Oryctolagus cuniculus: one gene and its partners. The main gene of each other region encodes a partner of the protein of the gene in region 2 in a complex. Links are inferred from orthologs where the notes say so. Each region holds a gene or a part of one and is shown on either strand. Other genes may lie near its edges. The genes, in order: ITGA2B, FLNA, FBLIM1 and ITGB2.

Region 1 (7,328 bases), on a different chromosome or scaffold from region 2:
CTGCTGGGATACAGAAAAGAGCACATGTCCTGAGCTGGTCTGCCAGTTATAAAACTGTCTATCCGGCCTTCTTTTCGGCTCCATTTCTCTTATCCCCATCACAGTTATTAGCAATTTGAAAAGAAGCAATCGGTCATTAATGGTTGAATTGATCAGGCTTTGGAATCTGACTACCAAGGTTAGAGTCCTGCCCCCCCCTTTTGTTAGGATTTTTGTTTGTTTATTTTGAAGAGTTACAGAAAGGGGAGAGAACAATCTTCCATCCACTAAGTTCCCTCCCCAAAAGTGGCTGCAGTGGCCAGAGCTGCGCCAGGAGCCAGGAGCTTCTTCCAGGTCTCCTGTGTGGGTGGCAGGGACCCAAACACTTTGGCCAGCTTCTGATACTTTTCCCAGGCCATTAGCAGGGAGCTGGATCAGTAGAGCAGCCAGGACAAACCGACAGCCATTTGGGATGCTGGCATTGCAGGCAGTGGCTCTACCTGCTATGCCACAGTGCCTGCCTACCTGGCTCCTCCTTTTTATACCTGTGTTACCCTGGGCTACTTGTCCTAGTGGACATTGTCCCCTTCCTGAGGTGGTCCCCATTCAATGATCAGTGAAAACTGTTTGGGGGGCAAGGGGTAAGGGTCCACCCTCTTGGTTCAACTCTTTTTAAAAATATATATTTACTTGAAAGGTAGACCAGCAAGGAGAGAGAGGGAGAGACAGACAGAAGTCCTCCATCTGCTGGTTCACTCCCCAAATGGCCGCAAGGGTTGGGCTGGGGCTGAGCCAGGGGCTCGGAACTCCATCTGGTCTCTCATGTGGGTGGCTAGGGCCCAAGGACTGGACCATCGCCCCACTGCCCTCCCCGGCATGTTAGCAGGGAACTGGATCGGAAGCGGAGCAGCCCCCGGGTGTTGACCCCCATCTGACATTGGGTCTGAATCTCAGCTCCACACCTGTTGCTGCTGCTTTCCCCCTCCTTTCCACGATTAGTGGTCCCATGGGCACTACGTAGTAAACATCCTGGGTGCCAAAAAATAAAGTGTTCTTCCTCAATGAACTTGCTCCCTGTTGGACTGGGACCGTGCTAAACGCCCCGTATACGTGCAGTACATGGGTTGGCGTTCTGCCTGACTGACACGTGGCAGAGCTCAGGTAAAACTACCCCGGCGGGACCCTCCGCTCCCACGCACCCCCGCCCCACTTCGCGTGCCTCCCTCAGCACTCAAACCCCCTCCCAAGGAGGGACCTGGTTCCCAGGAGCACGCGAGACCCTGGTGGTGGCTGGTGGTCGGACGGTGGAGACGCCGACAGCGTAGGCGATACTTTTCTCACGGATACCGAACCCCCGGTGTTCAAATCAAACCGTGGGATCAGTTCCAGCTTCACTCCCGACTCGCTGGGTTACTTTAGGCATGGGATTTCCCTCTCTCACAATAAAGTGTGAGGTCCCATGTAGGAGAGCGATGCGGTGCCCGCCGGCTACACGGCCCCGGCGCGCTCCCAGCACCGCGCCGCGCTCACCCTGCTTTCCCGCGCAGCGTGGCCATCGTGGTGGGCGCCCCGCGGACCCTGGGCCTCGGCCAAAAGGAGACGGGCGGCGTGTTCCTGTGCCCCTGGAAGGCCGAGGGCAGCCCGTGCAGCCTGCTGTCCTTCAACCTCAGTGAGTCCCCAGCAAGGGTGGAAGGGAGGAGCGAGGGGGAGGTTCACGGCCGGATGGGACTCAACGCCCCACCCCTTCTTGTGCCCTCCAGGCGACGAGTACCGAAAAACGAGCTCCCAACTTTTCCAAACCTTCAGGGCCCGGCAAGGCCTGGGGGCGTCGGTCGTCAGCTGGAATGACATCATTGTGGTGGGCGCCCCGAGACCGGCACGGGGCGGTCGGGGAGGGGATGCGCTGGGGACGGGGGAGCCCGAGCCTCGCACCCTTCCCCACTCTCCCGTGGCCCTGTCCAGGCCTGCGCCCCCTGGCAGCAATGGAACGTCCTGGAAAAGGCAGCGGAGGCCGAGAAGACGCCGGTCGGCGGCTGCTTCGTGGCTCATCTGCCTAGCGGGAGGCGCGCGGAGTACTCGCCCTGTCGTGGCAACACCATGAGCCACGTTTACGAAAAAATGTATCTTAGTAAGGGCCACCCTCCATCTAGTTCCGCCCACTCGAGACTGCATAGCCCCGCCCCTAACCTCCGCCAGCCCGGCTTCCAATCTGGCCTTAGCGTCTGCCCAGCTCCTGGTCCCGCCCCTCCGACTGCAGCCACGCCTCCTTATTACCCTGTCCCCGCCCCCTCGCGCTTGCGCACTGCCCCGCGGCGCTGCAGGCGCGGAGGCTCGCTTCTTCCCCCGCGGGTTCACTGAGCCGTCTCCCCTAGGAGACTTACGCTCCTGCGAAGCGGGCTTCAGCTCCGTGATCACCCAGGCAAGTTGGAGGCAAAAGCATGGTGGGGGCAGTCCACGAACCGGGCGCTCTTCTCACCTCCAGGGCTTCCCTTTCAGGAAGGAGAGCTGGTGCTGGGGGCTCCGGGCGGCTATTATTACTTAGGTACGTGCGAGTCGGTGCGACCCCCGCCCCTCTCACGGCCCCGGGAGACCCCTGGCGTCTGGGCCCCCACACTCCCTGCCCCTCGCGCCCTAGGTTTCCTGGTCCGGGCTCCAATTGCCAACATCATCTCGAGTTACAGCCCCGGCGTCCTCTTGTGGACCGTGCCCAATCAGAACTTCACCTTCGACTACAGCAACCGAAAGTACTTCGACGGCTACCGAGGTAATCTGGAGCCCCAGCACCCCAGGGGTCACCGCCCGCCCCGCCGACCACGTCCTGCCCCTCGGGAGCCTCCGCAGCGCCTACAGCGCCCCGCCTCTGGACGGCTCTGCGCGGTGCCGGGTTCGGACTGGGTGGCCTCGGAGTCCCCTCTTTTCTCGCCCCCAGCACCTCCTGCTAAGATTTAATTTGTCCCCAGGGTACTCGGTGGCCGTGGGCGAATTCGATGGGGATCTCAGCACAACAGGTAAGAAGTCCACCTGCTCAGTGGCGGGGTTGGGAGCCCAGCCCCGGGAGAAGCTGCGCGCGGAGCGGGTGGGAGGTAGCAGGCTCTAGAGATGCCGCCCGCTGAGCCTGGCTCTCCCCCAGAGTATGTCCTCGGTGCCCCCACTTGGAGCTGGACCATGGGAGCGGTGAGTGCCCTCCACCACACCACTGGCATCAATGTCCCCAGTCCTCAGGCTCACGGTCCCCCCGCCCCGACTTCCTGCCCTTCTCACGGGGAGCAAACGTAACACGCTCCATGCACTGTCCATGCAGGTGGAAATTTTGGATTCCTACTTCTACAGGCTGCACCGGCTGCAGGGCGAGCAGGTGGGGGCCGGGCCGCGCTGGGACTGGCTGAAGACAGGAAACTAAGACCACAGAATATCTGGGGGGTTGGGAGGTACAAACGAAGGTGCCCTCGTCTCCTTGCAGATGGCTTCGTATTTTGGGCACTCTGTGGCGGTCACTGATGTCAACGGGGATGGGTGAGGAGGGGGACGCCCCACCCCTACCCCGTTGGTTCCCCAGTTGCCTCTGCCAGCCCTGCCTTGGGCACGACCGCCCCAGGAGCTGAGAGCCAGCGTGGGCAAGATTTGGCCCTAGCCCCCAGCCGCCACTAGCCAGCCCCAGCTGACCACCCCTCTGCCTGCAGGAGGCATGACCTACTGGTGGGCGCTCCTCTGTTCATGGCGAGCCAGGCAGACCACAAGCTGGCCGAGGTGGGGCGCGTGTACTTGTTCCTGCAGCTGCAAGGCCCCCACCTGCTGGGCGCACCCAGCCTCCTGCTGACCGGCACGCAGCTCTACGGGCGGTTTGGCTCTGCGATCGCGCCCCTGGGCGACCTCAACAGGGATGGCTACAATGGTGAGGAGAGAGGAGCCCCCACTTGCTGCAGGAGGGTTAACAGCCTCAACAGAAAGCCTGGGCTTGACCCGAGGGCAGGGGGAGCCAGGAGGGGCTTCAGTCAGGAAAGATGAATTCAATGTGGAGGAAAATGGAAGGGGTTGAACAGGAGAAAATGTGCCATGGGGAGCAGGGGGTGGAGCCAGAGGAGTCATGGGCGGAGCCAGAGGGACCAGGGGGTGGAGCCAGAGGAACCAGGGGCGGAGCCAGGGGAGCCAGAAGAGGTTCCTGTAATGCACAGGGGGGACACAGCCCGGTGCCGGGTGAAGAGAGACACCTGTTCCAATGTCAAACACGAACAGGGTAAAGGGAGCTGGTGGCCCACGGTGGGGCCACTTCCCTTTTGAGAAGTAGGAGATGCGGTCCCCTGTGAGAAGCCAAGGGCTGGGCGCTGCAAGGATGGAGGAAGCTAGAAACAGGTGCTGAGCAGACTGGGAGGAGTGAGCAGCACCTGGCCAGGCAGCGGGGCAGCCTCCAGGGCACTGGGGTCAGGGGCTCATGGTGCCCCGAGCTGGGTTCACCCAGGGCTGGCAGTGGGACAAGCCGGCTCAGCCTATGGCAAGGTCAGAGAAATCAGTGAAGACAGTTCAAAGAAAGAGCTGCGTAGGAAACATGCTGTCAACAAAATCGGGAGGCAAAGGGTAGACAGGTGCAAGGCACGTATCAAAGACGCGCTCGTGTCAGACACGAAGAGTTCTCAGAGGTGCCACTCTGACAACAGGTGCGCTTTCAAAGGTGAGTGAGAGCCTGTGGGTGTGCCTGAGTCTGTGGGGGGGAAGCGCAGGGCCCCAGGGGAAGTTGGGGGCCTGTATTTAATAAGCTTCAGCTACTCCATATTCTGGAGCCCACACTTTTTATCTAAAATTAGTAGAATAATGCCTCATTTTCAGGATTAAATGAAATCTTGTTGATCTCTTTTCCTCGGCGGTTAGTGGAGGCTGGTGCTGTTTTCCTAACAGTGCTGCCTGACCAGCCTCTCTCCCACTTGACCGCAACTTCGGCCTCACACTGGGCAGCCCTCTCTTGGTCCTCCGGGGCCGGCCCAGAGAGGGAGCTCAGGAAGCCGTGCCCCTGGTGGGGGGGGGGGGGTTGAATAACAAGCAGCCATGCCTGTTACCTTTCCAGATGTTGCGGTGGCTGCGCCCTACGGGGGTCCGAGCGGTCGGGGCCAAGTGCTGGTGTACCTGGGGCAGAGCGAGGGGCTGAACCCACATCCCTCCCAGGTCCTGGACAGCCCCTTCCCCGCGGGCTCTGCCTTTGGCTTCTGTCTGAGAGGTGCCACAGACATCGATGACAACGGATACCCAGGTGCCTTTGCTGCAAATGCCGAGAGACAGCCAGGAGGCCCGGGCCTGACCTGGTGCCCGCCCCACTGGGGGCTCTGACCGCTTTGTATGGCTGGGAAGCCTGGGGTGGAGGGGAGCAGGTCAGACTTCCTGGGGCGGGGGAGGTGGTGTGCGGAGCCCTAAGGGAGATGAGAAGCCGCCCCCATGCCCTCTCTAACTGCCAATCCCGACCCCTCCTGCAATGTTTAGACCTGCTGGTAGGAGCTTACGGGGCGGACAAGGTGGTTGTGTACAGGTGAGCGCTGACTCTGGGGGCGGGGTGCGGGAGGAGGCCAACCCCAAAGGGGCCGCAACGGCAGGCGCCCCTCTGTCCCGCTAGAGCCCAGCCGGTGGTCATGGCCGATGTCCAGCTGCTGGTGCAAGATTCGCTGAACCCTGCTGTGAAGAACTGTGTCCTGCACCAGACCAACACCCCCGTGAGCTGGTGAGGAGGCGCGGGCGCGGCAGCCGGGACCTGTGGTCCCTGGGCCGGCCCTCGCCCCTGAACCCACTCACGTCTTTGCAGCTTCAACATCCAGATGTGCGTGGGGGTCACCGGGCACAACATTCCCCAGAGGCTGTGTGAGTGGCTCGGGAGGCGCAGGGGGAGGAGGGCCCAGGCTCCCCCGCGGCTGGCCAGGTGGTCTTGACCGGGCCTGCTTGTCCTGCAGACCTGCAGGCTGAGCTGCAGCTGGACCGCCAGAAGCCCCGCCAGGGCCGGCGAGTGCTGTTGCTGGGCTCTCAGCAGGCGAGCACCACCCTGAGCATGGACCTGGGCGGGAGGCAGAGCCGCCTCTGCCACAACACCACGGCCTTCCTTCGCGTACGCACAGGCAGGGGTTCGGCTGGGCTGGGCGTGTGCACCGCATTCACCAGCCCTGGGGCACTGGGCTGGGTGCTGTGGGTCCAGGGGTCATCAGCAGGATGTGCATGGAGCGAGATTGCCTGACTCCTGTCTCCCTCCTAGGATGAGGCGGACTTCCGGGACAAGCTGAGCCCCATCGTGCTCAGCTTCAACGTGTCGCTGCAGCCCAAGGAGGCTGGCGTGGCCCCTGCCGTGGTCCTGCACGGGAACACCCACGTGCAGGAGCAGGTGGGACGGGTGGGAGTGGTACAGGGCCCCTGACAGAAAGCCTAGGTTGGGGTAGTGTCCAAATCATAATGTGTACCCCCAGACCTTGACGTCACCCCGATATCTGGCTTACCAGTTAAGATGCCTGCATCCCATATCCGAGCGCCTGGGTTCAATTCCCAGTGCCAGTGCCTGATCCCAGCTTTTTGCCAATACAGACCCTGGGAGAGAGTGAAGGTGGCTCAAGTCACCCACCTGGGAGGCTCAGGTTGAATTCTCAGCTTTGCTGGCTGCTGTGGGCGTTTGGGGAGTGAACCAGTGGAGCTCTGTCTGCCTGTTTCTCTCTCTCTCTGCCTCTCAAATAATTCAAGTGTTTGTGTATGTGCAGAGTATGTTTATATGTTTATGATATATACAGAGAGAGGCTAGCGAAAATCCCAATATCCCCTACACCTTGAGGTCAACTCCAAACTTTTTCAGCTTCAGATCTTTTTTTGTAAGATTTGCTTTATTTATTTGAAAGGCAGAGTGATGGAGAGAGGGAGAGAAAGAGAGAGAAAGGATATTCCATCCACTGGTTCACCCCCCAAATGGCCACAGAAAACGGGCTGTGCCAGGAGCCTGGAACTCCATCCTGGTCTCCCATGTGGGTGGGGGGGACCAAGCACTTGGGCCATCTTCTGTTGCCTTCTCCGGGGCATTAGCAGGGAGCTGCATTGGAAGTGGACCAGCGGGGACTTGAACCAGCGCTGTGATCTGGGGTGCCGGCATCCCAAGTGGTAGCTTCACCTGCTGTGCCACAACACTGGTCCCTTATTCCCTAAGCCCTGATAAGAATCCCAAGCCCATTGTTGTATTCCTAACCCTGGTGTGGCCCCCAAGCCTCAGAGGACCCCAGTTACCCACACCTCTCAATGTGCCCCCCTAGACCCGCATCATCCTGGAGTGTGGGGAAGATGACGTGTGCGTGCCCCAGCTTCACCTCACGGCCAGCCTGTAAGGGGACCTCCCACTCTGCTCC
Region 2 (7,328 bases):
CCTGGACCTCAGCAAGATCAAGGTGTCTGGCCTGGGAGAGAGTAAGTGCCTGGGACCCTTGTGGAAGTCACCCAAGATCCCTTTCCCCCACCCCACCTGGGGCTCATCCACAGGGCTGCTGGAGCTGGGTATCAGAGCTCTCTCCTTCCCTCCTTTCATCATTTTGCCAGAGGTGGACGTGGGCAAAGACCAGGAGTTCACAGTCAAGTCGAAGGGGGCCGGTGGCCAAGGCAAGGTGGCATCCAAGATCGTGGGCCCCTCGGGCACTGCAGTGCCCTGCAAGGTGGAGCCAGGCCTGGGGGCGGACAACAGCGTGGTGCGCTTTGTTCCCCGTGAGGAGGGGCCCTACGAAGTGGAGGTGACCTATGACGGTGTGCCTGTGCCTGGCAGCCCCTTTCCTCTGGAAGCCGTGGCCCCTACCAAACCCAGCAAGGTAAATAGGGTGTGACGGGTGCTAAGGGTAGAGCTGCTGTGCTCTCTGAGGGCCCAGGAGGGCGTCCTGCTGCTCCAGATTTGTCTTCACCCCTTCTCCTTTTTGTACTCATGACTGATGCGTGGGCTGGCTAATGGGGGCAAAAGGAGGGAGATGGAGGGGTCAGGCTGGAGGTAGCATGGCCTCAGCTCCTGACCCCCTCTTTCCTCAGGTGAAGGCTTTTGGGCCAGGGCTACAGGGGGGCAGTGCTGGCTCCCCAGCCCGCTTCACCATCGATACCAAGGGTGCCGGCACAGGGGGCCTGGGCCTGACGGTGGAGGGCCCCTGCGAGGCACAGCTCGAGTGCCTGGACAATGGGGACGGCACATGCTCCGTGTCCTATGTGCCCACCGAGCCTGGTGACTACAACATCAACATCCTCTTCGCCGACACCCACATCCCTGGCTCCCCATTCAAGGCCCATGTGGTTCCCTGCTTCGATGCATCCAAGGTCAAGTGCTCGGGCCCTGGGCTGGAGCGAGCCACTGCTGGTGAGGTGGGACAGTTCCACGTGGACTGTTCGAGTGCAGGCAGTGCGGAGCTGACCATTGAGATCTGCTCTGAGGCAGGGCTGCCGGCCGAGGTATACATCCAAGACCACGGCGACGGCACGCACACCATCACCTACATTCCTCTCTGCCCGGGGGCCTACACTGTCACCATCAAGTACGGCGGCCAGCCTGTGCCCAACTTTCCCAGCAAGCTGCAGGTGGAGCCTGCAGTGGACACCTCAGGTGTCCAGTGCTATGGGCCTGGCATTGAGGGCCAAGGTGAGGACCCTGCCCTGTGACACACGGTGGGGGTAGAGGGTAGGGGCCAGGGGTCAGGGCCCCTAAAGCCCCATGTCTCCTGCCTGTGTGCCACTGTAGGTGTCTTCCGGGAGGCCACCACCGAGTTCAGTGTGGATGCCCGGGCTCTGACCCAGACTGGAGGGCCACACGTCAAGGCCCGTGTGGCCAACCCCTCAGGCAACCTGACGGAGACCTACGTGCAGGACTGTGGAGACGGCACATACAAAGTGGAGTACACACCTTATGAGGAGGGTACGCACAGGCTGCCTCGGATGGGTGTGGGGGGAGCCAGCGCAGGCTCCTCCTGACCTGGCCTGCCCTCCCCCAGGACTGCACTCTGTAGATGTGACCTATGCTGGCAGCCCTGTGCCCAGCAGCCCCTTCCAGGTGCCTGTGACCGAGGGCTGTGACCCGTCCCGGGTGCGTGTCCACGGGCCGGGCATCCAAAGTGGAACCACCAACAAGCCCAACAAGTTCACCGTGGAAACCAGGTAAGCCAACCACCAGGGACGCAGAGGAGAGCCATGGGCTCAAGACCCTCAGAGAGTGACGGGCTGTCTGTTGGGACCAGGGGAGCTGGCACAGGTGGCCTGGGCCTGGCTGTCGAAGGGCCCTCTGAGGCCAAGATGTCCTGCATGGACAACAAGGACGGCAGCTGCTCAGTGGAGTACATCCCCTATGAGGCCGGCACCTACAGCCTTAATGTCACCTATGGTGGCCACCAAGTGCCAGGTGAGAAGGCAGTGGTCAAGATGGCGGGGACTGCCCGATTTCCCCACGCTGTCTTACGCAGCTGCTGTCCCTTTGCCCAACCCCCAGGAAGTCCCTTCAAGGTCCCTGTGCATGACGTGACAGATGCATCCAAGGTGAAGTGCTCTGGGCCTGGCCTGAGCCCAGGCATGGTCCGTGCCAACCTTCCTCAGTCCTTCCAGGTGGACACAAGCAAGGCTGGGGTGGCGCCACTGCAGGTCAAAGTGCAGGGGCCCAAAGGTGAGTGCTCACCTACCCGGCAGCCAGGGACTCAGCAGGGGGAAGGAACATGGAGGCCCAGCATATGCAGAGTGGAGTCAGGTGTGTGGGCAGGTGGAGTGGGAGACCCTCGGGTTGACAGAGGAGAGCTGGTGGGGAGAGCAGGAGGAGGCAGGACAGATGGGGTAGGAGGGAGGGACAGCAAGGGTCCAAAGTGGCAACCAGAGTGGTGTCTCATGCCACAGGGGTTTGGGGCCGTCCTTGTGGATGGGCAGCGACAAGAGGAGGTCTAGGCCTGGTGCCCTGACCGGGTCAGTGTGGTGGGGGTGGGGGTAGGGGCCCAGGGGGCTGGCTGAGGTTGTGTCCCTTGGACTGGGGTCAGGCCTGGTGGAGCCAGTGGATGTGGTGGACAACGCCGATGGCACCCAGACTGTCAACTACGTGCCCAGCCGAGAAGGGCCCTACAGCATCTCAGTGCTGTATGGGGAAGAGGAGGTGCCCCGGAGGTGAGTCAGGGCCCACCACCCATGGGGAGGGGTCCAGGCTGGATGTCCAGAGCCTGTCTGACCTCTCGCAACACCCTGGCTCCACAGCCCCTTCAAGGTCAAGGTGCTGCCTACACATGATGCCAGCAAGGTGAAGGCCAGTGGCCCTGGACTCAACACCACTGGTGTACCCGCCAGCCTACCTGTGGAGTTCACCATTGATGCAAAGGATGCTGGGGAGGGCCTGCTGGCTGTCCAGATCACGGTGAGCTCACTGGCCTCACAAGCTGGACTGTAGCATGGTGCAGGCAGAGGAGAGGCCAGGCTGGGTCTCCCTAGGGAGTCATCCCAGGGAAGGCAGGGCCGGCCAGCTTCTGCTTTGCCACCATCATGACTACCTGAGGCTGATGCTGGCGGGCACAGGCCTCGTGGAGCACACACCCTCTGCTAACACTGAGGACCTTCCCAAGGCCTCTGGTGCTGCACTTCCCCTCCTGTGCCATTCTCACTGGGAAGATACGAGGAGATCTCCCAGCTGAGCTCCCCTGAGTGCTGGGGCAGACCCTGGTCTCAGGGTGGGAGCCCACAGGGGTCGTGGCAGGGGATTTGGGTAAGGGAGCATGGGCCCAGGGGCCCTGGCCCTGTCTGTCGGCACATGGAGCAGTGTTGAATACTTCTGCAGTTCCATCTAGACTGCCCATGGGGAAGTAAGGATGATGCTGGGTGCAAACAGCCTTTTGGGGCCATAGCTGCTGAGAGGCCTGGAGGCTGTCCCTGTAGCAGTGGTACTTGGCATCCATTCAGGAGGGTGGCTTACCTGGGCCCGGGCCAACACTTCCACGTGCTCTGCCGTGCAGGACCCTGAAGGCAAGCCCAAGAAGACACACATCCAAGACAACCACGATGGAACGTACACAGTGGCCTATGTGCCAGATGTGACGGGCCGCTACACCATCCTCATCAAGTATGGTGGTGATGAGATCCCCTTCTCCCCATACCGTGTCCGGGCCGTGCCCACCGGGGATGCCAGCAAGTGCACGGTCACAGGTGAGCCAGCCCGCCAGCGGCCGCTGTGGCGCTCGGCACGGGGCTTGGGTGTGCCTGTGTGCAAGGGCTCGCTGCTTGGGGCGGCGTGTGGGAGTGGGGGCCGCCCCCTTGAGTGACTCACCTGACCTTTCTCCTTGCTCTCTGCCCTCTCACCTCAGTGTCAATCGGAGGTCACGGGCTAGGTAAGCTGCTTGCTGGGGCCACTCCCAACGCCCCTCCTGCCCAGAGGGCAGCTTCCTTTCCTCTTCCGGTGCTGATTCCCAGGAGAGTTCCAGCTGCAGCTCCAAGCAGGGACAGAGTGGGTGGGGGGGCTGTGCAAGACAAGGCCATGGGCTGGAGGGTTAGGGCCCAGGGAGGCTTCCGGAGCTAAGCATGAACACTCCGGCCCTTCCCCTCTCTGGGCCTCCGTTTCCCCACTGGAGAACTCGGGTTGCAGCTGAGAGCTTTGGGGTGAGGTGCATCCTGAGAGGCACCCCACTTGGGGACTTTGGGGTCTGGGGATCTTGGCACTCTGGGCAAGTACCCAGGGATAGGCAGTGGGCCCTTCCTTCTCACAAGGGCTCCTGCTTGGATTAAGGGGACAAGGGGAGTCCCTAGCTCCGGCCAGATCCGCAGACTCCCATCCCTACCTCCCAGGGGCCTGAGTCCCGGGCCGGGGGAGGTGCATGAGCGGGTGGGGCTGGCTGGTAGTGCAGTAGCACCAGCGTCGACTGCTTGGGTGGCCAGCATGGCGGGGCCCAGCCCAGCCTAGAGCCCCAAAGTGCACTGTGTTGCCCGTCTCCCTCCTTCCCTTCCTCTCCTGTCCCCCTAGCAGTGACGTTATTCAGGCCATCCCCTGGCAGGCACAGAAGTTTGCCTGCCCCAGCCAGGGGCACCTCTAAGAGGGGAGAATGACTTGAGGGCCTCTAGAGGCTGTAGGCCGGCCACTCAGGCAGGGTGGCCAGGGAGCAGGTTAGAGGGAGGCTAGGGTTTTGGAGCGGGGCTAGACAGCCTTGTAGAGTAGACTTTGGGATCGGGGGAGACCTGGTGCATGTGCAGGACTCAGACTAGGGGGTAGGGGAGAGGTTTGCATTAGCCTTAGTTTACGTGGCCCATGTGTGCAGTGTGGAGGCAGGGAGCCCAGCTCAGGGGCTGAAGTCACTTTTGGGTAAGCTGGACGGGTGGCTTGGGCCAGGCCAGTGGCCATGGGATTTCAGGTGGGAGCCCAGCCAGGACAGGGTACTTGGAGAATAGAGTAGCTAAGACCTGCTGATGGGCTGGGAAAGGTGGGAATCGGGGGTAGTTGTGAGGCTGGAGCCCTAGCCATGAGCTGGGTGGTGTGGGGTGCAGGTGAGTGAGGCCTCCCAGGGCAGCAGATAGCCAGCTGTAGAGCCCAGGAGACCCACCTGGGCTGTGGTCAGTCAGCATAGTGCCTAAGCAGGGGGAAGAACCCTTGGCCAGTAGGGGGACTTGGTGGCAGACTGGCCAGGGGTGCCCCCTGAACTTGACCCTCAAGCAAGTTTGGTGCTCCTGGCTGCTTCCTTGGCAGGAGGCCAGGCTACAGGGGTGCTCTCGCTGCCAGGCCTCACAGCCCACAGCTCCCCAAGCCTCCACAGCTGAGCCCCAGATCATAACGTCACTGTACCTCCCCTTTCCTCGGGCACTCTGGGGCCCTAGAGGCTATTCAGCTTCTCTGCCCTTGCAACCCAGTGGTGGTGGCTGTGGCTTGGGCCTCCTGTCCCTGTCCCCCTGGGTGCTGCCACTGCTCTGCCAAACCTGCTGTGCTGCACTGCCTGGGTGCTAACCTGGCTGCCTCCCGCCTCCCTGCTCCCGCCTGCGCCGGGCTGCCTCTCACAGTGAGCCGCTGGTTGAGCGAGCATTCTCAGTTGTCAGGAGACTCCAGTTTCACCTCCAGGCCTGGAGGGGGGTAGGAAGGCAAGTGTCACGTCCCCCCACGCTGCAGCAGGACTCTGCCTCACCGCGTCCACACAGCACTGGGGGCCAGGGCTGGGCCACAGGGGGTCCAGGCAGCCGTGGGCCTGGCTAGAGCGCTGCTGTTTGTCAGCACGGGCCACGATGCCAGTGAGGCCAAGTGGGGCAAGGGAGGGAGGTGGCGGTAGATGCTCATGCCGAGATGGGCCCTTCCTTCTCTTCCTGGGCACCCGAGTGCCCCCGGTCAGGCCTCTCAGGTGTCAGGGCTTGAGGTGGTCAGGAGAAGCCTTCCTGTCTTCTGAGAAAGCACTCGCCATCCCAGCTGAGGGTGGGGCGGGAGGCCTGGCTGTGCTTGGTGGTGGCGTTGAGGCCTGGGGGGCAGCCGGAAGACAGGAGCAGCCCAAGCGCAGAGCTCACGTGCTGGCCTCCCTTCGGGGACCTGCCCTGCCCTATCAGGTGCTGGCATCGGCCCCACCATCCAGATCGGGGAGGAGACGGTGATCACCGTGGACACAAAAGCGGCAGGCAAAGGCAAAGTGACCTGCACGGTGTGCACCCCTGATGGCTCAGAGGTGGACGTGGATGTGGTTGAGAACGAGGACGGCACCTTTGACATCTTCTACACAGCCCCGCAGCCAGGCAAATATGTAATCTGTGTGCGCTTTGGTGGCGAACATGTGCCCAACAGCCCCTTCCAAGTGACGGTAAGGAGGGCCCGGGGGCAGGATGCAGGGGGCTCTTGACAGGTCCAGCCTGGCCCGTCCCCCAGGGCCCCGCTGCGACAACAGACTCTCCAGCTCCCGCTCTGCTCCACAGGCTCTGGCTGGGGAACAGCCCGCGGCACAGCCCCCGTTACGGCCTCAGCAGCTGGCCCCACAGTACACCTATGCCCAGGGTGGCCAGCAGACCTGGGTACGGCAGGGCTCACCACCTCGCGGATCGCCCGGCCCAAAGAGATGTTCAGGGCTGGTGGGCAGGGAGTCCCATGGGCCCCGGCCGCTCTGCCACCTGCGAGGAGGGACCCCCACGTGCCCCCACAGCCACTTACCTGGGCCCCGTGTCTCCATGCAGGCCCCAGAGAGGCCCCTGGTGGGTGTCAACGGGCTGGACGTGACCAGCCTGAGGCCCTTTGACCTCGTCATCCCCTTCACCATCAAGAAGGGCGAGATCACCGGTGAGCATGAGGCGGGAAGGAGCGCGGGAGCCCGGGCGGCCGGGGCGAGCCACTGGGCGGCCCTGACCCAGCTCCGCTGCCCCACTGCCCTGCTGCCCCGCAGGGGAGGTCCGCATGCCCTCAGGCAAGGTGGCACAGCCCTCCATCACTGACAACAAGGACGGCACCGTGACCGTGCGCTATGCGCCCAGCGAGGCTGGCCTGCACGAGATGGACATCCGCTACGACAACATGCACATCCCAGGTGGGCCACCCTGCCTCTGGCCGGCCGCTGCCACCGCCATCTCGCAGAGAGGTGGGGGTGGAGGCACATGAGGCTGCCGTTTGACACGGCCCCCTTCCCGCCTCAGGGAGCCCCCTGCAGTTCTACGTGGATTACGTCAACTGCGGCCACGTCACTGCCTACGGGCCCGGCCTCAGTCACGGAGTGGTCAACAAGCCCGCCACGTTCACCGTCAACACCAAAGACGCGGGAGAAG
Region 3 (7,328 bases), on a different chromosome or scaffold from region 2:
TGCCATGGTCGGCTACGCCAAAATCGGGCGTCTACGGACGACGAAAGCCATCACACAAGTGACCAACTCAGGAGAGTGTTGGCAACGCAGCTGAGGGGAAGACTCGGTCTCCTGAGCTGGCCCAGGGCTCACGGAGTCCTCCTTACTGGCACCCCCCCCAAGCAAGGCAGGCTCTGCAGAGGCTGGGGGGGGGGGGTCCGGGGGAGGGGGAGACAGGGGCAGGAGCGAGTTCAGGCCCAGATGGCTCATGAGGGCAGTCGGCTAACAACACCAAACTCACAAATGCACCTGCCCTTTCCTGTCTCAGCAAATCATTTCCCATACATCCGCACGTGGGCACAATGACAGGAGAGCAAGGCGACCTGTGACACCAGGAGGCCACCGCAGTATCCGTCCCTGGGGAGGAGCTCGCCGCAGCCGGAGAGAAGGGGCGGCGGCCACTCGGCCACTTCCACTGCGCTGTGCCGCCCGAGGAAGCAGGCCAGCTCGCGCCCAGAGCATCTCCAATCAAAGACATCTCAACCGATCCAAAACCCAGAACGCCGAGCACGGGGCTGAAGCCTCATCCCAGGGCAGGTGCACCGAACACACTGACTGAATCCCGTGTTGGGACTTGGGTCCCATCCCAAGACAGCTCAGCATGCACACGCAAGTATTCCCAAATCTCCCTCCGATCCCAAATGCAAAACACTTCCGGTCTCAAGCATGTTGAAGCAGGCTCTCTCCACAGCAGGGGAGGGCACGCAGGTACACACGGTGGTATTTGCTGATGCAGACAGAACTCTGGATGCCCAAGACATTAACAGAGGTGGCCCCGGGGGACGCTGGGTGACAGGCTTTGCAGTTCGCATTGTGCGAGGCCACTAGGACGTGAACAAGTCGTGGGAAAAAATTCAAGGCATTTCTGCCATCACAGCAAAGCGCAGAGGAATACTTAAGTGGATTTTAGTCATAAAGGGAAGAAGGTTCTGGCAACAAAAACGCAATGGGTGCACAACTCAAACGCCCAGCCTAAGACGTGAGCTGGGCCAGGCAGGGGGTCTCTGCCCTCCCAGTTCCCACGAGGGCCCCTGGGGACCACCCCGGAATCCTGCCGGCCCTGGGCCCTTACCTGTGGACGTCTCTCTCTCAGGGAGCCCAGCAGGTTCTTCCGGGGGAGGTGGCAGCTCCTCTTCCGAGGGCCTGAGCTGACCAGGCCGAGTTTGGACCGGGGGTCCCTCCACCAGAGCCTGTGAGGACGCAGAGTGGTGTCAGCAGGGACCCCACACAGCCCTTCCAGGCTCTGCCTCCTCTGGGGGCACTGGACACAATCATTCCCATTGAACAGCAGGTAACTGAGGCCCCAGAAGCAAGTCACTCAGCAGGCAGGGGACAGTGGCAGCTGAGGTCAAGCAGTCAAAGCTCCGCCTTCCACGCCAGGGAATGCGGCCCTGGGCCGGGACCTGCCTGGCGCTGCAGAGGTCTATAGAGCAGAGCGGGGCGTGGCAGTCCCTTGGGATTGAGCAGGAGGGACCAGACCACCTCCAGGCTCAGCCTCCCATCCCCCACCCCGGGGGTCTGGAGGTACCTGTGGTGGGGGTGGGGGCAGGTGCAGCTGCTCCAAGTCGGAAATGAGTGATGCCCCCAGCGGACCAGGGGCCTCCTCAGGAGGAGGGGGCAGGTACACAGGAGGGGGCGGCGGCGGCGGGAGGTCCAGGTCGGCCAGAGGGTTCTGGGCATCCAGTGCGGGTGGAGGAGGAGCACGCTCTGCGAGGAAGGCAGAGGGTCAGCTGGCGTCCCTGCAGGTGGACAGAGCAGCCCTAACCCAGCCAGACCAGGTGCCGTCTCGGACTCTGCCACCACCAAGCAACGTGGGCGTCCCATACGGGCCAGGCTTCGAGTCCCGGCTGCTCTACTTTCTTTCTTTTCTTTTTTTTTTTTTTAATGTTTATTTATTTGAAAGGCAGAATTAGAGAGAGGCAGAGGCAGAGAGAGAGAGAGAGAGAGAGAGTCTTCCATCTGCTACCACAAATGGCTGCAAGCTCTGGAGCCAGGAGCCAGGAGCTTCCTCCGGATCTCCCACACAGGTGCAGGGTCCAAGGACCTGGGCCATCCTCCACTGCTTTCCCAGGCCACAGCAGAGAGCTGGATCAGAACAGCCAGGACTTGAACCAGCGCCCACATGGGATGCTGGCACTGCAGGTGGCGGCTTTACCTGCTACGCCACAACACTGGCCCCATGCTCTGCTTTCGATCCAGCTCCCTGCTAATGCACCTGGGAAAGCAGCGGAAGATGACTCAAGTGCTTGGGCCCCTGCACCCATGCGGGAGACCTGGGAGAAGCTCCTGGCTCCTAGGTCCAGCCTGGCCCAGCCCCAGCCATTGCAGCCATTTGGGGAGTAAAACAAACTGCGGATAGAAGATCTCTCTCTCTAAGTCTGGCTTTCAAATAAATAAATACATCTTTTATTTGCTTCACTCCCCACATGGCCACAATCTGGGTTCCCACAGGGGTGCAGGGGTCATCTTCTTCTGCTTTCCCAGGCACATCAGCAGGGAGCTGGATCGGAGAGGAGCAGTCGGGACTTGAACCAGGGCACATGTGGGATGCTGACACTGCAGGCTGCACCACAGCGCTGGCCCCTCTGCCTCTGACTTGCTGGGTGTCCTTAGGCAACAGACTGGACCTCGCCAAGTGTAATCTGCTTAGTTGGAAAATGGGCACCAGGCACTCAGGGGTAAGCAATATCTGAGATGACGGACAGGAGAGGCACCTGCCAGGGCCACAAATAGCAGCTGAGCAAGCTCCCCGACAGCCCTCCCCTGTGGGTGTGGCCAGGCCCCTGTGGACGCGCAGGCCTGACCAACCTCTCCCGCGTGGCTCTGGCCAGCAGCACCTGCCATACCCGGGAGCATGCCCCAGCCCTGCACAATCAGACGCCCTGGGTGGGGCCACCACCTGTGGAGTCTGACAGGCCCCCAGGGGATGAGAGGGGTGTGCTCCACCTCCGACCAGAGTCAGGGACTGAAAGGTGGAGGGGGGATGGGAGCTTTCTAAGGAGGGGTCAGCTGCCATCGCCAGCACCCACTGATGAGGCTCAGCAGACTTCGGGGTCTCCTGGTTCGTGTGACTCTACAGGAAGTGACAGGGGCACCACCTATGTCATGTTCTTACCCCCAGCACAAACCCTGAATGAACAAACCAAAAAGACCCGCCTCAATCCAGTCACATCTCCAAAGGTCCATCTGTGACAAGCGTGGAGCCACAGGGGAGCTGGATGAGAGGGCAGGGGAGAGAAGGGGCAAATCTGGGACATGCGTGGGGTACCCCATCAAAACGGACCCCACTTCTGCAAGGAGCCAATGGCACGAGGTGGGGGAGGGGTCTCCCCTAGATTTCAGAGCAAAACGGCCACTTAAAACACGCACATCCACAGGCCAGTGTCGTGGCACAGGGGTGAGGCCACTGCCTGGGACTCCGGCCTCCCACGTGAGCGCCCGTGGGGATCCTGGCTGTTCTGCTGCCGATCCAGCTCCCTGCTGCTGTGCCTGGGAGAGCAGAGCGCGGCCCAAGTGCTTGGGCCCCTGCACCCAGGTGGGAGGCCCCGATGCAATTCCAAACAGCCCCAGCCGTTGTGGCCATCTGGAGCGTGGACCAGCAGGTGGAAGAGCGCTCTGCCTCTGCTTCCCCAGGCAGCGTTAGCAGGGAGCTGGAGGGGAGGACAGCCTGGCCTCGGACGATGCTGGCACTGCAGGCGGTAGCTTAACCTGCTGGGTCACAATGCCAGCTCCTAAGTCAATTTTTTTAAATTAATTAATTGATTTATTTTGACAGGCAGAGTTAGACAGTGAGAGAGAGACAGAGAGAAAGGTCTTCCTTCCATTGGTTCACTCCCCAAATGGGCGCTACGGCTGGCATGCTGCACTGATCCGAAGCCAGGGGCCAGCAACTTCTTCCAGGTCTCCCACACGGGTGCAGGACCCAAGCACTTGGGCCATCCTTCACTGCCTTCCCGGGCCACAGCAGAGAGCTGGACTGGAAGAGGGGCAACCAGGACAGAATCCGGCGCCCCGACCAGGACTAGAACCTGGGGTTCCGGCACCGCAGGCGGAGGATTAGCCTAGTGAGCCGCGGCGCCGGCCTAAGTAAATATTTTAAAAAGTAATTTTTATAATGGTTACATGCTGAAATGATATCTCAGTACACTGGGTTTTATAATCTCTAAGGTTAAAATTAATATCACTTATTTCTTTTTCCTTTTTTTCAATGTGGACACTAGAAAATTTAAGTTACAAGTGTTGCTAGCATTTGTGACTGGCATTCTATTTTTATTGGATGGCTGGTATAGACCTTATCTGGACCCTAATTCAAAGGATTAATCCTCTCATTTAATCCTTCCCACTTTGGAGCTGAGGAAAAGCTAAACATTCCACTAAATTAGCTCAAAACACGGATGGGGGAGTGGGCGTGTGGCACGGAGGGTTAAGTACTGCTGTGAGGCCCACATCCTGCATGGAAGTGCTGGTCCGAGGTCCAGCTGCTCTGCTACCGGTCCAGATCCCTGCTGGTGCACCCTGGACACGGCAGACCGTGCTCAAGGGCCCCTGGCACCCATAGATGAGACCTGGATGGAGTTGTGGGCTCCTGGGTCAGCCTGGCACAGTCCTGGCTCCAGTGAGCATTTGGGTAGGGAATGAATAACTGGATATGAGAGCTCGCTCTCTCTCTCTCTCTCTCTGTCATTCTTTCAAGTAGAAGAAAAACAAAAACAAAAACAAACCAGCACAGCCCAGAGGCGGGCATCGGCCTGGCAGCTGAAACGCGGGTTGGGACGCCTGCATCCTGAACCAGACTCCCAGGCTGTGGTCCCCGCCTCTGCTCCCAACTCCAGCTTCCTGCAAGTGCGCGCCCTGGGAGGCAGTGTGGATGGCACACGTGGCTGACTTGGGTTGAGTTCCCCGCTCCCAACCTTGGCCAGCCAGGTTGGCTGTCAGTGTTCGGGGAGTGAACCAGTGACGAGAGCTCTGTCTCACCAGTACACAAATACGTGTAACAAAGGCTCCCGGTCACTGTGATACGATCCAGCCGCTACCAGGCGTTTTCATACAAGCAGTGAAGGCTGTGGGTTGAGTATCAGATAATCAAAGGCATCCTTGGATTCTCAGTTCAGTGGACGCCGCCCGGCCCTGTGGCCGTGTAAGGCAATGGCTGTATTTGGAGATGGACCTTAGCCAACGTGGGGCAGAACTGCCAGGGTGACTGGGTGCCTTCATAGCAATCCACACGCACACAGGAACAGACGAGACAGGCACGTCTGGACCTTGATAAGCGCTGGGACCAGACGTGGGCGCACAGGCTTTCTCCTGCTGGATTTGCTTCTGTGTGTTGTCTGGGGCTTCCTAAGACCACACACATGGACACACGCATGTGTGCAGGACACACACACCAGCACATGTGTGCACACACCACACACCAGCACATGCGTGCACATACTACACACCAGCACATGTATGCACACACCACACACCAGCAGATGCATGTACCCACCACACACACATGCACACACCACACAGGCACACAGCACACACACACAGGCACAAAATCACTTCCATTCCTAGCACAGTCTAAAGCCTGCTCCAGCGAGCTGAGTGCTGGGACCCTAAGGCTATTCTGTGGGTACAGGCGGGAGGAGGTAGGGTGGGGCTCCCACAGCTCCTGTCTCGGCACCCGTGTCTCTCCTCCATCCAAGAACCACCACATCCAGCGCCAGCCCTGCAGGCTCCATGGGATCAGGAGGGCCCTGTGGAAACCCTCTGCCCACCCCAGTCCCAGCGAGAAGGGTCACGGGCGTGCACCACCCACCTCCCCAGGCAGGCACAGCAAGCTCAGCCTGGCCCAGACGCGTGGGAACGCAGATGGAAAGTTCCGGAAGCCTTACGCGCCATGAGACCAGGCCCTCCAGGCGGAGTCTGGTTTCTCGCCCTTCAGTAAGGACAATGCCCTGCCCGCACCCCCGAGGGCTGAGGGCACAGATGAAGCGAGCGGCCACCTTGGTCCTGGCCCCGAAGCAGGTTACACCTGGAGGCCCTCTCCCCGCCAAGAATTCGCATTTCTGCTAACCACACCTGGGGAACTCCTGCGCTAGCCCCGAAGGCTCGGCCTTGGCGCCCCTGGCCGAGCACCGTAGCTCCCGCCCCATTCCACTGTCCAGATCACCCGCAGCGAACCGGCACGGGGCACGGCTGCGTGGGAACTTGTTTCACAACACAGTAGCTAAGAACCGTTTTCAAATAACTAGTAGAGAGAATTTTGAAAAGAAATGATAAGTATTTGAAACGACAGACAGGTCGATCACCATGATCTGATCATTATACAATAGATATATGTGTAGAATTGTCCTAATTGCATATAAACATGTATGATTATGTCAATTAAAACTTTTTTAATATTAAAAGTTATAGGGGTCAGTGTTGCGGTGCAGTGGGTTAAGTTGCTGCCCGGGATGCAGGCGTCCTGCATGGGATCACCAATGGGTTCTCAGCTGCTCTGCCTCTGATCCAGCTCCCGGCTAACATGCCGGGGAAGGCAGAGGAAGATGGCCAAGTGCTTGGATTCCTGCCACCCACACGGGAGACCCAGATGGAGCTCCCGGCTCCTGGTTCAGCCTGGACTAGTCACAGAGGACGTGGCCATTTGGGGAGTAAAACAGTGGCTGGAAGATCTCTCTGTCTCTCCTTCTCTCTCTGTAGCTCTGCCTTTCAAGTAAATAAAAATTTAAAAAATTTAAAAAATAAGGGGCCGGCGCTGTGGTGCAGCAGGTAAAGCTGCCACCTGCAGTGCTGACATCCCATATGGGGCCGTTTCAGACCCAGCTGCTCCACTTCTGATCCAGCTCTCTGCTGTGGCCTAGGAAAGCAGTGGAAGATGGCCTAAGTCCTTGGGCCCCTGCACCCGCGTGGGAGACCCGGAAGAAGCCCCTGGCTCCTGGCTTCGGATCAGCACATCTCTGGCTGTTGCATCCAGTTTGAGAGTGAACCAGCGAATGGAAGACCTCTCTCTCTCTCTTTCTCTCTCTCCTTCTCTATGTAACTCTGACTTTCAAACATAATAAATAAATCTTAAAAAATAAGATAGGTTGGCGCCGCGGCTCAATAGGCTAATCCTCCGCCTGTGGCGCTGGCACACCGGATTCTGTCGCAGCCACTCCTCTTCCAGGCCAGCTCTCTGCTGTGGCCCGGGAAGGCAGTGGAGGATGGCCCAAGTGCTTGGGCCCTGCACCCGCATGGGAGACCAGGAGAAGCACCTGGCTCCTGGCTTCGGATCAGCGCGGTGTGCCGGCCGCAGTGGC
Region 4 (7,795 bases), on a different chromosome or scaffold from region 2:
ACTGCAGTCTGAAGCCGGAGTCGGGATGCAGCAGCGTTCCGCCGGTCATGGGTGCTCCAGACAGAGCCGGGGACAAAGGGCAGTGCACAAGCACGCAGAGGCCGGAGGCCTGGGCGCGCTCCGCCGACTGCTCCCGGAACCTCCACCCCCGGGCCCAGGGCGCGCAGTCGTGCTGTTGGCTCCGCTGTCGGGGAAGTCCAGCGGCAGAAGGTACCAGGGCCCCCGTTTCTGGCCAAGTGGGGTAACATGAGACCCCTCCCCTCATTACATAGACCTAATTATACATTTAAAACACTCCACTAGGAGATGCCACGTTCTCCATCCAAGACAGGGAAAAGCTTCGTGCCTGCCGAGGCCCCGGCGCCCTGGCTGTGGCCTGGGAAGCGGGGAGAGGCTGCCATTGTCTCGGGGACCGCGCAGAGGAGGGACTGCGAGAGCAGACAGCTCGCACAGAAGCGGTGTAGAGGAACAACTCGTGCCTTGTGCCAAGGGGGCAGTCATCTCTAAGGAGAGCTAAGGCGGCACACACCCACGGGAGAAGCCCAGGGCTTCAAACCAGTGATGGCCCAAAGCAGAAACATAGCCTGTCACTCAGACGTGGAGATGTCAGCTTGCTGAGGCCACGTGTGCCACCTGTGCCCAGCCACACAGCCACAGGCCTTGTGTGGCCACCCCATGGAAAAGTCTCACCCAGTGGAATCCTATGCAGGTGTGAACAGTGGCTCAGGCCAGCTCGACCTCATGGTGGCAGGTGAGTGGATGGACACCTGCCTTCCCAGCAGAGAGCAGGCGGGCAGCAGGGCCTGCACGTGCTGGGCCAGCTCAGAGGTGGCCTGGCCATGCCTGGCTCTGCCCTCCAGGGTTGGCTTTTTCACCTCAGGCTCACTCACTGGAGTGGACTGTACCCCATCCCATCAGCAGCCAGCCCTGCCTCGGGAGAAGGTTTGGAGACTGGGGCTGGCTGTAGGGGCCTCTGGCCTGGCCTGAGCTGCGCTGGCCCCCACAGGTGCAGGAAGACGGGACAAGGATCTGGTTCTGGGACATGGGCAGGTGCAGCCAGACGAGAACTCCCTCCAGGCCAGCTGCATGCAAGGCCCGCGTGTCAAGACTGGGCCTGGGCCCAGCGACCGCTGTGAGTGACAGCAGTCAGTGAACGGGTCTCCCGGAGCACAGGGCCCGACCAGGACGGGGAGTATACCTCCTGTAAGCCGGGTCTCACCCAGAGCCTCCAAGCCTCAGGCCCAGGGTGGGAGAGAGGGCAGCGCTCCCAGTTCAGGACAGCTTGGCCCAGGGAAACAGAGAGTGGATGCAGTTCGCACCCGGGCGTCACCTGAGACCGCCCAGAGCCTGGGAGGGGGCACCCCAAGATGGGGCTCCTCAGTGGTCTGGCTGTGCCCACAGCAGGGACACGTGTGCCACTCAACCCTCTGCAGCGGCTGGCACCCCATCCGCAAGTGGGGGCTGGACACCGGGCCCTGGCCCCGGGCAGAACCGTGGCTCCTGCACAGCCTCAGGGACATGTGCCCAGGGAGGCAGGGCCCTGTCACCCGGGGCCGCCCGGCTCCAGGCTGCCCACCCAGGCTATCACCTGTGCGTCCCGCCAGGGCCTAGCCAGGTTCTGCCCCGGGAAGTGAGCTCTGAGCTTTGTCTTTGCTTATGGGGCAACTGGGCCATACACAACAGGCCAGCCTGCCCCTCACTCTTCACAGATGGGGACATTGCGTCCCAGGAGGCCTGGCCAACTACGCCTTCCAGATGGGGTGCAGGCAGACCCATGGATGGCACAGCTTCCTGTCCGGGGGTCTCTGCCTCCATGAAATGTCTGGGTGACAACTGCAGTGTGTCCCTCCCCCCAGCCCCGAATGCTGGCGTCTTCCACGTAAACGACACCTGCGAGGTGGGGCCACCAGCCGGGAGAGCCAGGGGTGCTGGTTGTCTGGGCAGGGCCAGCTCAGGCAGGATGAAAGGGGGAGTGGGAGCTAGCCCCAGACTGCAGGGTCCCTGGGATCCTTTCAACCCTCCCCCACCTGCCAGAGACCTTGGGACGGCCCCCAGAGGCCTGGTCATGGGTGAGGTGAGGCGGGGGCGCTGAGCCCGGGCTGTGGGGGGCAGCATCACACGTAGCACCTGCTCACAAAATAGCACCACCCACTGGGCCAGAGCAGTGACGGCTGCCTCCAGGGGACTGCACTGCACACACACCACACAGACAGCACACACCACACAGACACACACATCACACAGCACACACAGGCACACATCACATACACCAGACACACACACATCACACAGACAGCACACATCACACAGACACACACACCACACAGCACACACAGGCACACATCACATACACCAGACACACACACATCACACAGACACACACATCACACACACCACACACAGGCACATATCACATACACCAGACACACACACATCACACAGACACACACATCACACACAACACACACAGGCACACATCACATACACCAGACACACACACATCACACAGACAGCACACATCACACAGACACACACACCACACAGATAGGCACACATCACACACACACCACACAGACAGCACACATCACACAGATACACACATCACACACACCACACAGACAGCACACATCACACAGACAGCACACATCACACAGACACACACACCACACAGATAGGCACACATCACACACACACCACACAGACAGCACACATCACACAGATACACACATCACACACACCACACAGACAGCACACATCACACAGATACACACATCACACACACCACCCACAAGCACACATCACACACACCACACAGACAGCACACATCACACAGACACACACATCACACAGCACACACAGGCACACATCACATACACCAGACACACACACATCACACAGACAGCACACATCACACAGACACACACATCACATACCACACAAGGCACACATCACACACACCAGACACACACACATCACACAGACAACACACATCACGCAAACACACACATCACACACACCACACACAGGCACACATCACATACACCAGACACACACACATCACACAGACAACACAAATCACACAGACACATACATCACACACACCACACAGCCAGGCACATATCACACACACCACACACAGGCACACAACACATACACCGGAAACACACACATCACACAGACACACACACCACACAGACAGGCACACATCACACACACACCACACAGACAGCACACATCACACAGACACACACATCACACACACCACACAGACAACACAAATCACACACACCACACACAGGCACACATCACATACACAACACAGACAGCACACATCACACAGATACACACACATCACACACACACAGGCACACATCACATAGACTAGACACACACACATCACACAGACACACACACATCACACATACCACACACAGGCACATATCACACATACCACACAGACAGCACACATCACACAGACACACACATCACACACACCACACACAGGCACACATCACATACACCAGACACACACACATCACACAGACACACACATCACACACCACACACAGCCAGGCACATATCACACACACCACACATATCACACACACCACACACAGGCACACAACACATACACCGGAAACACACACATCACACAGACACACACACCACACAGATAGGCACATATCACACACACCACACAGACAGCACACATCACACAGACACACACATCACACACACCACACAGACAGCACACATCACACACACCACCCACAGGCACATATCACATACACCACACAGACAGTACACATCACACAGACACACATACATCACACACACCACACACAGGCACACATCACATACACCAGACACACACACATCACACACACCACACACAGGCACACATCACACAGACACACATACATCACACACACCACACACAGGCACACATCACATACACCAGACACACACACATCACACACACCACACACAGGCACACATCACACAGACACACATACATCACACACACCACACACAGGCACACATCACATACACCAGACACACACACATCACACAGACAGCACACATCACACAGACACACATACATCACACACACCACACACAGGCACACATCACATACACCAGACACACACACATCACACAGACACACAGCCAGGCACATATCACACACACCACACAGACAGCACACATCTCACAGACACATACACATCGCACACACCACACAGACAGCACACATCACACAGACACACACACATAACACGCACCACACAGACAGTACACATCACATGCACCACACAGCACACATCACACACACCACACAGACAGGCACACATCACATACACCAGACACACACACACCACCCACACCATACAAGACACACACATATCACAAGACACACTCACACCATACCACAGACCCCACATATACCACACAGAAATGCACATACGTGCCATAACACACACCACACAGACACACACATCACACACACCACAGACCACACTTACAACACACACACCACACGGACACACACACACGCCACAGCTGGTGGTGGGGACACGCAGACAGCAGGGCGCTGACTCTGGCTGGGAGAGGCGGCGCGGCCGCTAGGGGGAAAGGCCTCAGGCCCCAGTGCTGATGGCCACACCCTTACCCAGCATCCCCCAGCCTGGGGGGCTTGCAAACCCTCTGCCTGAGCCTCCCCCTGGTGTGCTGGGCCTCGGGGCCCCCGCGTCCTTGGGGCCCAGCCAAGGTCTGGCTCACCCTGGAACCGGAGGCCCTGGCACGTGCTCCCATGTGCTCCCCGGCCGGTGCTCCCTGTGGCTCTGCCCCTCCTCTCGCTGGGTCTTGGAGAAAGGGGTGCCCAGAGCAGACGGCTGGGACCCCCTGCTGCTGGTCAGCCCCGGCCAGGGCCACAGACACGGCCGCCGGGGCCACTCCAGGTCCTAGAGGGGCTTCCTTTGGGAAAGAGAGCAGCTGCCCCGGGACGAAGCCAGGGATGGGGTACTCCCCTCTTCCAGCCCCCCTGACACGGAGGGGCCCTGCACTCACCCTCGGCTCCGTGCGTCCCGGCAGGGCTGGAGGTGGCTTCGCCGGCCGTTCAGCAGGCTGGCTCTGTGGTCGGGGCTGGGACACAGCGGCCCCACCGTGAGGTCTGCGCTTCCTGTTCTCAGCCAGTTCCTCCGAGGGGGCGGGGTGACGTGTGGCGGGTTGCCCCACATGGGGCCGACGGGGTGCGCTCCTGTGGGCAGTGGGGACGGGGCCAATGGCGGCACCGGGGGACTCCCAGCCTGTCAAGGAGGGCAGTGGGCAGGAGCTGGGTCCGTGGATTTACACATGAGCCCTGAGCCTGGGAGACTGAGCCACTCGGACAGGAGACCCCGAGCAGGCCCAAGCAAGGTGCCAGGGTCCAGGCAGTGGCTCAGGGGGCCACAGCAGCGGGCGTGTGACGGCATCCACCCAGCATGGAGGCCAAGCAGGGCACAGCGCACAGGCGGGGAGATGTGCCGCAGACAGCCCGCCAGGACCCAGGCTCTGGGAGGGGGAGGGGCAGGGCCCGGCCCAGGTGGAGCAGAGGAGGCCCCAGGCTCTCTGCCGCTGCCAGCAGAGGCAGACGGGAAAGCACCAAGCCCAAGAGAAGTCAAGCCAAGAAGCAGGCAAGAAGCATCACACGTGTCACACGCCTGTCCCGGGGCCTGGTGGGCTGCAGAGCACGGGTCCAGGGTGCCCTCAGGTGGGAAACAGGATGTCAGGGGGTGGGGGCAGTTAACACATCCCCGTGGGAGCACTGGGGTGGGAGGGGGTGCGGCCTGGCTCCGTCGCCTGATTCCAGCTTCCTACCACGCAGATGCTGGGAGGCAGCAGCGATGGTTCAAGCTCTCGGGTCCTGCCTCCCACACAAGGGAGGCCCGGTGGAGATCCCGCTCCCGGCGTCAAGCCTGGCCCGGCCCCAGCTCAGCCCTGGCAGCAGCAGGTATTTAGGGAGTGAACCCATCTCTCTCTGTCTCTCAACAAGTAAAAAAAATAAAACTGTTTTAAAATAATATAAATAGGAAAAATACATCTGAAAATAGAAAAAATAATTTTTTTAAATTCAAGGGATGCAGAACACACAGGAAATGTGAGAAGCACAGTGGGATGCTGGGACAGCGTCAGAGGCTCTGGAGGGGTCACAGGTCCTGTGGGTGGGCTTTGGGCTCCCTCTTCAAATCAGTAAATTCTTGCTCTTTATAAAAATAAAGAGCAAACAAGCTGCAACATCATGTTCTCTGCTGCGACCGTCTCCTCCTCATAGATTATTCTAGAAAATGGCAGAGAAGGGGGACAGGGTGTGGGCGTCACCCTCAGTCCCGCCCACCGACAGCCAGGCCTCCGCTGGACAGCACTGGCTGCTCATCTCGAGACCCTGAGAGCCCACGCCTTGCCACGGGTCGGTCACCTCGATGGAATAACAACACAGGGAGAGCGTGTTAGTACTCTCTCTCTCTCTCTCTCTCTTTTTTTTAAAGATTTATTTATTTATTAGAAAGGCAGAGTGACGGAGATCTTCCATCTGCTGGTTCACTCCCCAAGCCAAAGCCCGGAGCCAGAACTCGATCTGGGATGCCCATGTGGGCGGCAGGAGCCTGAGCACGTGGCCATCGCCTGCTTTCTCCAGATGCATCAGCAGGAGGCTGGATTGGAGCAGCCAGGACTCAGATCGGGATCTGGCGCCACAAGCTGGGCTTGGCCTGCTGTGTGACGATGCTGGCGGCATCACCGTCCTGAACTTGAATCAGATCAGGCCTTCGGACCCAGCTAAGAGCTCGCTGGGCCCAGGATGCGATCAACAAAACCCAGGCTGGAGAACCCCCCACTCCCTCCAGAGCCTGCCAAGACTGGAGGCGGAGGGAGGACCCCACCCACTAGGAGATTGAGAGACACATCAACCAATCGCAGTGCGGGGACTGTGGGCGCCATGGCGAGACTCCTTTTGGGTGTGTGCCTTTGAGAGCCTCCCTGCCTGTGCAGACGACACGGCGTGACGGTCAGGGTCTGCTTCCAGGGCGGGGGCGAGAGGCCAGCGAGACAGCGGACGCTGGTGACGGCTGACACTGGTGGCAGGGACACGTTTATTCTCCACAGCAAACTTTTAAGAAATCTCTTACAGGAAGTGTCAGGTGGCTCAGTGGGTGGAGTTTCAGTCTCGCAAGATGGAAAGTTCTGGAGCCAGATGGCGGTGAAGGTTGCACAACAGCTCGAATCTTGCCGCACCGAGACAAACGCCCTGAGTCACCGTGGCCCGGGCGTCTCGGGTTCTGCACGTTCTGTCGCGATTAGAAGGAAAGCAAGTTCTCTCCCGGGGAAACTGTAAGAGAACAGACCAACGGCGGACGCTGATGGAACGGAGGTGCCGGTTCTGAAGGCTGGCGGACGCCAGCCGGTAAAGCCTGCAGGAGCAGCCCCCCACAGACAGGCTGCCCTGGACAGGGAGAGACGCAGCCCACGAGGACGACAGTGGTCACACATCCGCACAAACACAGCGAGCATCTCTGACTCCGAGCACCGCGCCGATCCGAGCCGTGGCAAGTGTAGGGACCGCCACCTGCCCTCTCTGGCCTGTGCACGCCGATGCTGAGACCCGGGCGACAACCACAAGCAGGTCTGAATATGTTTAATGGTGCAGACCAAACTCAGACACAAAGTGACAAAACCAGAGACTGACCGGGTAGCAGTTACAGCAAATGCCCAGCACCTGCGTGGAGCAGCTGGGACTCGAACCGGTGACCACAAGCGCCGA

What was found.
Region 1: the proteins of FLNA (region 2) and ITGA2B are in contact, whole or in part, in an NMR structure (PDB 7SFT), measured with the Homo sapiens proteins. The link is inferred for Oryctolagus cuniculus from reciprocal best matches to the Homo sapiens genes FLNA and ITGA2B. Residues at the interface, in NP_001104026.1 of Homo sapiens: Thr2263, Gly2267, Ala2268, Gly2269, Gly2270, Leu2271, Ile2273, Ala2274, Val2275, Glu2276, Gly2277, Ser2279, Ile2283, Phe2285, Asp2287, Arg2288, Lys2289, Gly2291, Cys2293, Val2295; in NP_000410.2 of Homo sapiens: Trp1019, Lys1020, Val1021, Gly1022, Phe1023, Phe1024, Lys1025, Arg1026, Asn1027, Arg1028, Pro1029, Pro1030.
Region 3: the proteins of FLNA (region 2) and FBLIM1 are in contact, whole or in part, in a crystal structure (PDB 4P3W), measured with the Homo sapiens proteins. The link is inferred for Oryctolagus cuniculus from reciprocal best matches to the Homo sapiens genes FLNA and FBLIM1. Residues at the interface, in NP_001104026.1 of Homo sapiens: Met2207, Gly2208, Thr2263, Arg2264, Gly2267, Ala2268, Gly2269, Gly2270, Leu2271, Ala2272, Ile2273, Ala2274, Val2275, Glu2276, Gly2277, Pro2278, Ser2279, Lys2280, Ala2281, Ile2283, Phe2285, Cys2293, Glu2306, Phe2311; in NP_001337080.1 of Homo sapiens: Lys7, Arg8, Val9, Ala10, Ser11, Ser12, Val13, Phe14, Ile15, Thr16, Leu17, Ala18, Pro19, Pro20.
Region 4: the proteins of FLNA (region 2) and ITGB2 are in contact, whole or in part, in a crystal structure (PDB 2JF1), measured with the Homo sapiens proteins. The link is inferred for Oryctolagus cuniculus from reciprocal best matches to the Homo sapiens genes FLNA and ITGB2. Residues at the interface, in NP_001104026.1 of Homo sapiens: Val2241, Thr2263, Ala2266, Gly2267, Ala2268, Gly2269, Gly2270, Leu2271, Ala2272, Ile2273, Ala2274, Val2275, Glu2276, Gly2277, Pro2278, Ser2279, Lys2280, Ala2281, Ile2283, Phe2285, Phe2311; in NP_000202.3 of Homo sapiens: Leu753, Phe754, Lys755, Ser756, Ala757, Thr758, Thr759, Thr760, Val761, Met762, Asn763.

What each region holds. Positions count from the first base shown.
Region 1 is NC_091448.1:18,915,378-18,922,705, forward strand, and holds part of ITGA2B (integrin alpha-IIb), read left to right. Parts: intron 1-1,526; coding exon 1,527-1,648; intron 1,649-1,739; coding exon 1,740-1,837; intron 1,838-1,941; coding exon 1,942-2,107; intron 2,108-2,351; coding exon 2,352-2,402; intron 2,403-2,475; coding exon of another isoform or gene 2,476-2,479; coding exon 2,480-2,521; intron 2,522-2,614; coding exon 2,615-2,743; intron 2,744-2,939; coding exon 2,940-2,987; intron 2,988-3,109; coding exon 3,110-3,153; intron 3,154-3,280; coding exon 3,281-3,334; intron 3,335-3,439; coding exon 3,440-3,492; intron 3,493-3,659; coding exon 3,660-3,871; intron 3,872-5,035; coding exon 5,036-5,218; intron 5,219-5,445; coding exon 5,446-5,491; intron 5,492-5,575; coding exon 5,576-5,680; intron 5,681-5,761; coding exon 5,762-5,817; intron 5,818-5,906; coding exon 5,907-6,058; intron 6,059-6,202; coding exon 6,203-6,328; intron 6,329-7,235; coding exon 7,236-7,303; intron 7,304-7,328. UniProt on the Homo sapiens protein: Integrin alpha-IIb/beta-3 is a receptor for fibronectin, fibrinogen, plasminogen, prothrombin, thrombospondin and vitronectin. It recognizes the sequence R-G-D in a wide array of ligands.
Region 2 is NC_091453.1:132,582,972-132,590,299, reverse strand, and holds part of FLNA (filamin-A), read left to right. Parts: coding exon 1-41; intron 42-170; coding exon 171-433; intron 434-644; coding exon 645-1,242; intron 1,243-1,341; coding exon 1,342-1,515; intron 1,516-1,591; coding exon 1,592-1,754; intron 1,755-1,834; coding exon 1,835-1,995; intron 1,996-2,082; coding exon 2,083-2,253; intron 2,254-2,614; coding exon 2,615-2,738; intron 2,739-2,825; coding exon 2,826-2,982; intron 2,983-3,574; coding exon 3,575-3,764; intron 3,765-3,922; coding exon 3,923-3,946; intron 3,947-6,131; coding exon 6,132-6,379; intron 6,380-6,491; coding exon 6,492-6,587; intron 6,588-6,746; coding exon 6,747-6,849; intron 6,850-6,952; coding exon 6,953-7,093; intron 7,094-7,199; coding exon 7,200-7,328. UniProt on the Homo sapiens protein: Promotes orthogonal branching of actin filaments and links actin filaments to membrane glycoproteins. Anchors various transmembrane proteins to the actin cytoskeleton and serves as a scaffold for a wide range of cytoplasmic signaling proteins.
Region 3 is NC_091438.1:153,856,686-153,864,013, forward strand, and holds part of FBLIM1 (filamin-binding LIM protein 1), read right to left. Parts: intron 1,747-7,328; coding exon 1,568-1,746; intron 1,230-1,567; coding exon 1,112-1,229; intron 1-1,111. UniProt on the Homo sapiens protein: Serves as an anchoring site for cell-ECM adhesion proteins and filamin-containing actin filaments. Is implicated in cell shape modulation (spreading) and motility.
Region 4 is NC_091435.1:1,689,086-1,696,880, reverse strand, and holds the start of ITGB2 (integrin beta-2), read right to left. Parts: upstream 5,223-7,795; 5' UTR 5,068-5,222; intron 229-5,067; exon of another isoform or gene 1-228.